Cricetulus griseus: one gene and its partner. The protein of the gene in region 1 interacts with the protein of each later gene in a biochemical or structural test. Links are inferred from orthologs where the notes say so. Each region holds a gene or a part of one and is shown on either strand. Other genes may lie near its edges.

The links.
Region 2: of the proteins of microtubule-associated protein tau (region 1) and Cdk5, one has a biochemical effect on the other in vitro, tested with the Homo sapiens proteins (10 studies listed by BioGRID and IntAct, with this or other methods). The link is inferred for Cricetulus griseus from reciprocal best matches to the Homo sapiens genes MAPT and CDK5.

Annotation. Positions count from the first base shown.
Region 1 is NC_048600.1:117,359,753-117,363,252, reverse strand, and holds part of microtubule-associated protein tau, read right to left. Parts: intron 630-3,500; coding exon 414-629; 3' UTR 1-413. UniProt on the Homo sapiens protein: Promotes microtubule assembly and stability, and might be involved in the establishment and maintenance of neuronal polarity.
Region 2 is NC_048601.1:98,098,650-98,102,827, forward strand, and holds the start of Cdk5 (cyclin-dependent-like kinase 5), read left to right. Parts: upstream 1-1,378; 5' UTR 1,379-1,471; coding exon 1,472-1,508; intron 1,509-2,085; coding exon 2,086-2,174; intron 2,175-2,252; coding exon 2,253-2,320; intron 2,321-2,419; coding exon 2,420-2,480; intron 2,481-2,587; coding exon 2,588-2,644; intron 2,645-4,014; coding exon 4,015-4,110; intron 4,111-4,178. UniProt on the Homo sapiens protein: Proline-directed serine/threonine-protein kinase essential for neuronal cell cycle arrest and differentiation and may be involved in apoptotic cell death in neuronal diseases by triggering abortive cell cycle re-entry. Interacts with D1 and D3-type G1 cyclins.

The DNA of each region.
Region 1 (3,500 bases):
GGGCAAACCGTTGCCCTAGTCCCTCAAAACTCCCCTGAAGTAGCCTCCAGAGCCTCCTTCACCCTCTAATACTCAAAAAGGGGATGGGGTGGGGTGGGGGTGGGAAAAGTCAATAGCAATTGCCCAAGGAAATGTTGGGTTTGGCCATGTTTTTACATGTTTGTCTTTAAAAATATTTTATTACTAGCCCACAAATCAATTTGGAAAGATGAAATTTACTTATTCCCATCACTGATTTTGAAGTCCCGAGCCAAAACCGAGCCACAAAAGCAGGTTAGGTGACAAGCCGGTCAGCCGGTCTGTGAGGAGCAGCGGGGAGGGCAGAGGGCGAGGGGCCAGATCATTCTTTTTTTTTTTTTCCACACTCTCACTCTCTCTTCTCTCCACGATTATTGACCGCCCCAGGGGCCTGATCACAAACCCTGCTTGGCCAAAGAAGCGGACACTTCATCGGCTAGTGTGGCAAGCTGTGGTGAGTCCACCATGTTGATGCTGCCCGTGGAGGACACATTGCTGAGGTGACGTGGAGATGTGTCCCCAGACACCACAGGTGACTTGTACACAATTTCTGCTCCATGGTCTGTCTTGGCTTTGGCATTCTCTCGGAAGGTCAGCTTGTGGGTTTCAATCTGTAAGAAGTTAGGGTGAGATGAACGATTACCCTGTGGAAAACAGATGAGCCCAGACTGTCTACACACCAGAGTCTATGGTGGGAGGAAACCACTCTTGTAATTAATTAATTAATTAATTAATTTCACTCATTCATTCATTCATTCATTTTATTTTACTTTATTTTGATGTAGGGCTTCTCTGTGTAGCCCTGGCTGTCCTGGAACTTGCTCTGTAGACCAGTGCTGGCCTAGGATTCAGAGTCTACCTGCCTCTGCCTCCCTAGAGCTATAAGGCATTCACCACCACACCTGGCTATTCATTTATTCTTGAAACAGGCTCTCTCAAGTAGCACAGCTGGACTTGAATTCTCTATCCAGCTGATGAGGACCTTGGACTTTGGATCTTCCTGCCCTCTTGTCCCCAATGCTGGAATCATGGGTATATGCCACCACAGCCGGTTTATGTAATGGTGAGGGTCAGGCCCAGGGCTCCCTGTAAGCTAGGCAAGCACTCTGCTAATTAACCTGCATCCCCAGTAGCCACCACCCCTACTTATTTGTATTGTTTCCAACTAGCAATAATTGTGCATGGTCCATCCCTCACCTGCCTGCCCAGTGACAGTGACAATGCTTCTATGCCCTTTAAATAGCCCACACATAGAAACACACATGCATGTGCAAGTAAACACATGTATCTTTAACGCATATGGGAGGGCTTTGCCCTTTGCTTTTTATACTTAATACTTGCTTCATTCTTGCTCACTTAGTTTTTAATTAATTTATCTGTCTATTTACTTTGAGACAGGATACCAATATGTAGCTCTGGCCTGCTTGTAATTCACTCTGTAGACCAGTCTGGCCTCGAACTCAACAGAGATCTGCCTGCCTCTGCCTCCCGAGTGACGGGATTAAAGGCGTGTGCCACCACGCCTGGCTGTTTATCTAATCTTTTTACGAGTGTGCGTGCGTGCGTGCGTGCGTGCGTGTGTGGGTGTGGGTGTGGGTGTGGGTGTGTCTGTGTGTGTGTTCATGTGCCCCAGTGCATGTGGGGAGATCAGAGGACAACTTGTTGATCCTCTCCTCCTAACATCTGGGGCCTGGGGAACAAACTCAGGGCATCAGGCTTGACCGTCTCTCATTTTCTGGGATTACAGGTGTGTGTCACCAAGGTTCAGGCTTAATGCTTTGTTATTCCACAGGGGACTTTCTTGTACCAATGGCTACTTATTCTACACCATTACAGCATCTGTGACAAAATCTATCTCCTCCCTGCCGGTGGAAGTGGAGGGAGTCCCATATTTCTGCAACTACAACCAATGCCGAGTAGCAATAACCCTCAGTGACCTTGCACACATCATTTTACATGTGTATCCTAAAAGTGTATGTATTGACTTGCGCTGGCATGGAGCCCATAGCCTTAAGCATGCTGAACACATGCTGTACTGCTGCTTCACAGCCCTTGCTCTGGACTCTGTGTTTTCTTAGGTCATTGCCAACTTGCTGCTAACAGAATTGAAGGAGAAGCCACCAAAGAGAAAATCAGAATCACTGATGCCAGCAGCCACACATCATTTGTCACAGGTTATTAAGGTATTTCCAGGTGCTAGAAGTTGTGATGCCAGGAAGCCCTTCTTTTTTTTTTTTTTTTTTTTTTTTTTGGTTTTTCAAGACAGGGTTTCTCTGTGTAGCTTTGGAGCCTATCCTGGCAACTCACTCTGGAGATCAGGCTGGTCTCGAACTCACAGAGATCCTCTGCCTCTGCCTCTGCCTCCCGAGTGCTGGGATTAAAGGCATGTGCCACCAATGCCCGGCAAGAAGCCCTTCTTAAGAAATGATATCACAGGCCTGGGGAGGAGATGTCTTAGTGGGTAGGAGTGCTTTCTGTGCAAACACAAAGGCCTGAGGTCGAATCCTCTACACCTAAGTAAAAGAAGCAGAGTGTGTCTGCACATGCCTGTAACCTGTAACCTGAGCATTTGGGGATGAACACAGGTACATCCCGGAAGCTCACTCGTAGCCAGCCTAGCAAAAACAGTAAGCTTCTGGTTCAGTAAGAGACCCTGTCTCAAGGCAATAAGGTGGACAGTGATAGAGGAAGACAACCTGCTCTGGTCTCCGCATGTATGTACACGGGTGGGCTCACCTGCATATGCATGTACACATAGGTGGGGGGGGGGTGCAGACATACAGGGTTATAGCCAGGAGCCCAAAGGGAAGCAGAAAGCAGTCTGAGGCATGTATAGCAGTCTCTACATCAAAAGGGTGGATACAAAATGCCTCCACCTTGTTCTAGATCCCAGGCTTTGAGCCATGTGTGCACATAAGTATGTGACACACACACTGCATTTCCACACACCTTCTGAGGTCAAAGACCCTTGCTGGGAGCTTGAATGGTGGCATAGAGAAAAATCAGCCTTTCCTTTAGGCTGCATGCATATGCTGTTCTTTTTGGTAAAGAGGGATCTTTTATACTACTGTACTTGAGAGAAGCTTTGATTAAAAACCTTTGTGTGTGCATGTGTGTGTGCGTGCATATGTGTGTGTGTGTGTGTGTGTGTGTGTGTGTGGTCGCACTGTCCTGGAACTTGCTTTGTAGACCATGCTACCCGAAAACTCAGAGATCCACCTGCCTCCGCCTCCCAAATGTTCAGCAAATGCTGGGATTAAAAGCGTGCACCACTATGCCCAACTGCTTCTGGTTCCAAGAGACGTTCTCAAGTGTAGCCCAGGCTGGCACTAATTCTCTGTAGCCCGGAATAACCTCTATCTGTTTCTAGTGCTCCAGAGTTTCATCCAGGGCATAGAAGTTCCCAGGCTGGTTGAGAACTTCCCTTACCCAGGGAATCTCCAGCTCAGGTCTGCTGCAGCCCCACTGAATCAGACTGAGGT
Region 2 (4,178 bases), on another chromosome or scaffold:
AAGCCCTGGCGTCTGCCTGGGAGGAAGCATGGCACGGGAACCGGAGGCCTGGGTGACCCTGACCCTGAGCCGACGGAGAACGGGACGGCTCGTTGAGGACTCCTCCTCGCTCGGCCAGAGCCACCTCCGCGCTGAGTGGAAGGCTGCGTGTCCGCAGTCGACGCTTGTACTTTAAAGACCTCTGCGTGTCGTGCATCCTGCCTTCTCGGCCAAAGCACCGGTTATTTCAGATGATAAGGGATGCACTTTATGCGTCTTTCATTCCCGGTTATTTCAGATGATAAGGGATGCACTTTATGCGTCTTTCATTCCGTCTGCCTCGTGGGTGAACCACGATCTCGTTTATGCAAAAGCACTCGGACTTAATAAGTCGATTAACCGATAGTTAGCGCTGCCCTGGTCCCGGCGCTGGGGAGGGAGGAACGCTGTCCGGGGCCGTTTGCGCCCGGTTCACAGCCAGCCCTCAGGAATGCAATCATGAGACAATTAGAGAGCAGTGCAGGAAAATCTATAATCAACTCCTTTGCGGGGTGCGGTAAAGGCTGCCTGCTCCCGCTGTCGCAGCGTCTGTGGCTCGTCTGCGGGGGAGTGACTGACCTGCCAGTCCTCGTGGGCCACACCCTGGCTGACTCCAGTGGGCCTGCTCTCAAGACTGGGATCTGGGGGGCACCCAGGCTGCAGTCTGCTGGCCTCGGCATGTCAGAGCGGGGCCCCCGCCGGAGTCCGCGGCTTTGGAGACCGTAACCGAGGGGTGTCTGGCGTGTGTCACACCGGCCTCTAACGGGCACACCTGCCTCGATGCCCGGCCCTGTGCTCAGCTGGCCCCTGTGCGGTCACCAGCAGTGGGACACCGCTCACAACCGTCCCCCCTCGGTCCCGGGGTCGCCAGGTGGCCTAGGGAGACACGGGGGGCACCGGCGCTGAAGCTGTCAGCGGGTCGCTGCCGACTCAACACACCCAACCAGGTCAGAGCCGGGCCCGCAGCGCCCGGGATCTAGGCCGTCCCGCGCCTGCTCCAGGCTCGGCGGGCGCAGCCGCCCCCACCCTCGCTGTATTCTGGAACGCGTAGTCCCTGAGCGGCCCTTTTCTGAAAGGCTGTGAACACAGAGAAGGAATAATAACAAGAGCGGGGCACACTGGGAGCCTCCGCGCCTTGGCGGAGACGCCCGACAAGCGGACACGCGATGCTTCCTGGGAATTGAAGTTTTAGGTTTGCCTCCGCGGTGGAAACGAGTCCCGGGAGTTGATCGCTGCATAGAGTCCGACAGCGGCCTGTTGGACTTTGTAGTCCTCGTGCCCTCCGCTACGGGCGTTCTTGGGGAACATGGCCACCCCGGAACTACAAGTCCCAGAAGCCTGTGCGTGGGGGAGTGGGTGGGCGGGGTTGGAGCTGTGGGTACCACCTCCTCTGCAACGCCGGGGCCGGGAGTCTTAGAACCGAGGGCCCGCAGGGGTCCCCGCGGCCGCTGCGATGCAGAAATACGAGAAACTGGAGAAGATTGGGGAAGGTAATGGAACCACGAGATGTTCCTGAAAGGTCCTTTTCTGAAGACCCTGCTTGCAGTCCCAGCTCCCTTACCGTCAGCTATACCTGCAGGCTCCGACCGCAGCACTGGGCAAAAGCCCTGGCCGCTGAGTCCAACACTCGGTGCAGACACCAGCCCTTCTCCCTGTGTTAGCATCTGCCGCAAACTCTTGCTCCTAGCTTTAGCAGTCTCTGTGGACCGTTTTTTCCTAGCCGCGGCACTTCCTGCATTTTTCACCCCTAGCCTCAGCATCACTTGCAAACCTCACCTGGAACCCCTGCTTCAATTCCCTGCAGAACTCCCAACCTTAACATTTTTTTTGCAGGCCTTTACCGCTCTCCTAGATGACTCCTCGATACTTCCCGACCCACCCCCACCCCCACCCCCCGAGCTTATGGCAGATTCTCCCTGCAGCTGGAGCCTTGAACCGGTTTAGGGACCTCCACCTTAGCATCCTCACTCACAGAACTACTCCATACCTAGCCTTCACCTGAAAACTTGCCCTTGCACACTAAGATGTTGAGGAGGATCCTCTCCCTCACCCCCGACCTTCCCCTAGGCACCTATGGAACTGTGTTCAAGGCCAAAAACCGGGAAACCCATGAGATTGTGGCTCTGAAGCGTGTGAGGCTGGATGATGACGATGAGGTAAGACAGAGGCATGGGGGGAGAGGTGCAGGGCCTGTCTGGGGTGGGCTGTGACTACTGTCCCCTTGCACATTGTAGGGCGTGCCAAGTTCAGCCCTCCGGGAGATATGTCTACTCAAGGAACTGAAGCACAAAAACATTGTCAGGTGAGGTCTCTTGGAGGAGACAGACCCCCATCAGACTGGACTGTATTGGGATGCTAGAGGCCAGCTTGGGGATCTGTCTGAGTCTTCCATTCTCTCTAGGCTTCATGATGTCCTGCATAGTGACAAGAAGCTGACGTTGGTTTTTGAGTTCTGTGATCAGGTGAAAGAGGGCTGGGTGGTGGGAGAGGTTAGTGCTCATGGGAGGGTATAGGAGTCCAGACTAAAGCTGAACTCTGTTCTCTGCTCCACACCCTCATCTATATTTAGGACCTGAAGAAATATTTTGACAGCTGCAATGGTGACCTGGACCCTGAAATTGTGAAGGTGAGGAGAGAAGTGTCTGGGATTTATGGAGTTAGGGTGTGCCTAGGATATCCATCAGCTCTCCTTGAGTAACAGGTTGAGCTCCTGGAGTACCAGAGAAAATCTGTTTCTGCCTTCCAAGGGCTACTAGTCTTAGTGAACATTTTTATTCGGTCTCCTTTGACTTGCACAGTGTCTGATTTCAGTGATATCATATGCACATAAGAAATATCTCATGGGTTCAACAAATACCAGCCCTGCGTAGTGGCAAATACTTCTAACTTTAGCACTCGGAAGTCTGAGGCAGGAGGATCTCAAAACCAGCCTGAGCTGCATAGCAGGGCCTTGCTTCAAACATCAGGGCAAAAACAAAACAAAAAGATTAGAGTGATGGCTCAGCAGTTAACTCATATTAATTACTCTTGCAGATGATGAGTTCAGTTCCCAGCAACCACACAAAGTGGCTCACAACCACTTGTAACTCCAGATCCAGGGGATCCAGTACCTTCTTTTGGCCTCCAAGGGCACATACCCCCCCTACACACATGCATACATAATTTAAAAATTAAGTAAATCTTGACAGAGAGAGAGTGAGCGAGAACAAGAGAGAGAGAAAGGCAAACAAAACAAATATATGCTGTAGGTTTTGCTTTTTACCAGGCACTTTTCTAGGCCCAAGACCAAGTACCGTGGCCCAGGTTCCAAGGGAATCAGGTCCTGAGTAATACTATAGCTTTGTATTTGTGTTGATGGTCAAGGTGTGTGTGCTAAATTGCAGCCATGTAGGGAAAACCAGCATGGACTGGAGATGCAGGAGGGCCCACCAACCATCAGTTAAGAAAGGTGTGAGGCCGGGCAGTGGTGGCGCACGCCTTTAATCCCAGCACTCGGGAGGCAGAGGCAGGCGGATCTCTGTGAGTTCGAGACCAGCCTGGTCTACAAGAGCTAGTTCCAAGACAGCCTCCAAAGCCACAGAGAAACCCTGTCTCGAAAAACAAAAAACAAAAAACAAAAAAGGTGTGAGTAGCAAGGAAAACTTGGTTACTGTTGTACCTCTACTACCTAGTGCATGCAAAGCAGAGTCTCACAAGTAACTCGATGAGAGGCTGAAAAGATAGTTCATTTGTTAAGAGTACTTGCTGCTCTTGCAGAAGACTCTGTTCCCAGTATTCATATTGGGTGGCTCACAACTACCTGTAACTTCTGTTCCAGGAGATCCTACCCCTTCTTTTGGCTTCCACAGACACACACACACACACACACACACACACACACACACACACACACACGCACTAAATTACAGAGTAATTGGATAGACTTCTTGACTTGCTGCAAGTCATATGGGCTATAGGACACAGTGGGTCTGACTCCCTCTTCCCTGCCTCTCCCAGTCATTCCTCTTCCAGCTGCTGAAAGGCCTGGGATTCTGTCACAGCCGCAACGTGCTGCATAGGGACCTGAAGCCCCAGAACCTGCTCATAAACAGGGTATTTCTCCGGGAACAGGGAGTGAGGTTGCAGAAGCTGGAGCCTGGGATGGGGAGCATAGTGAGTAG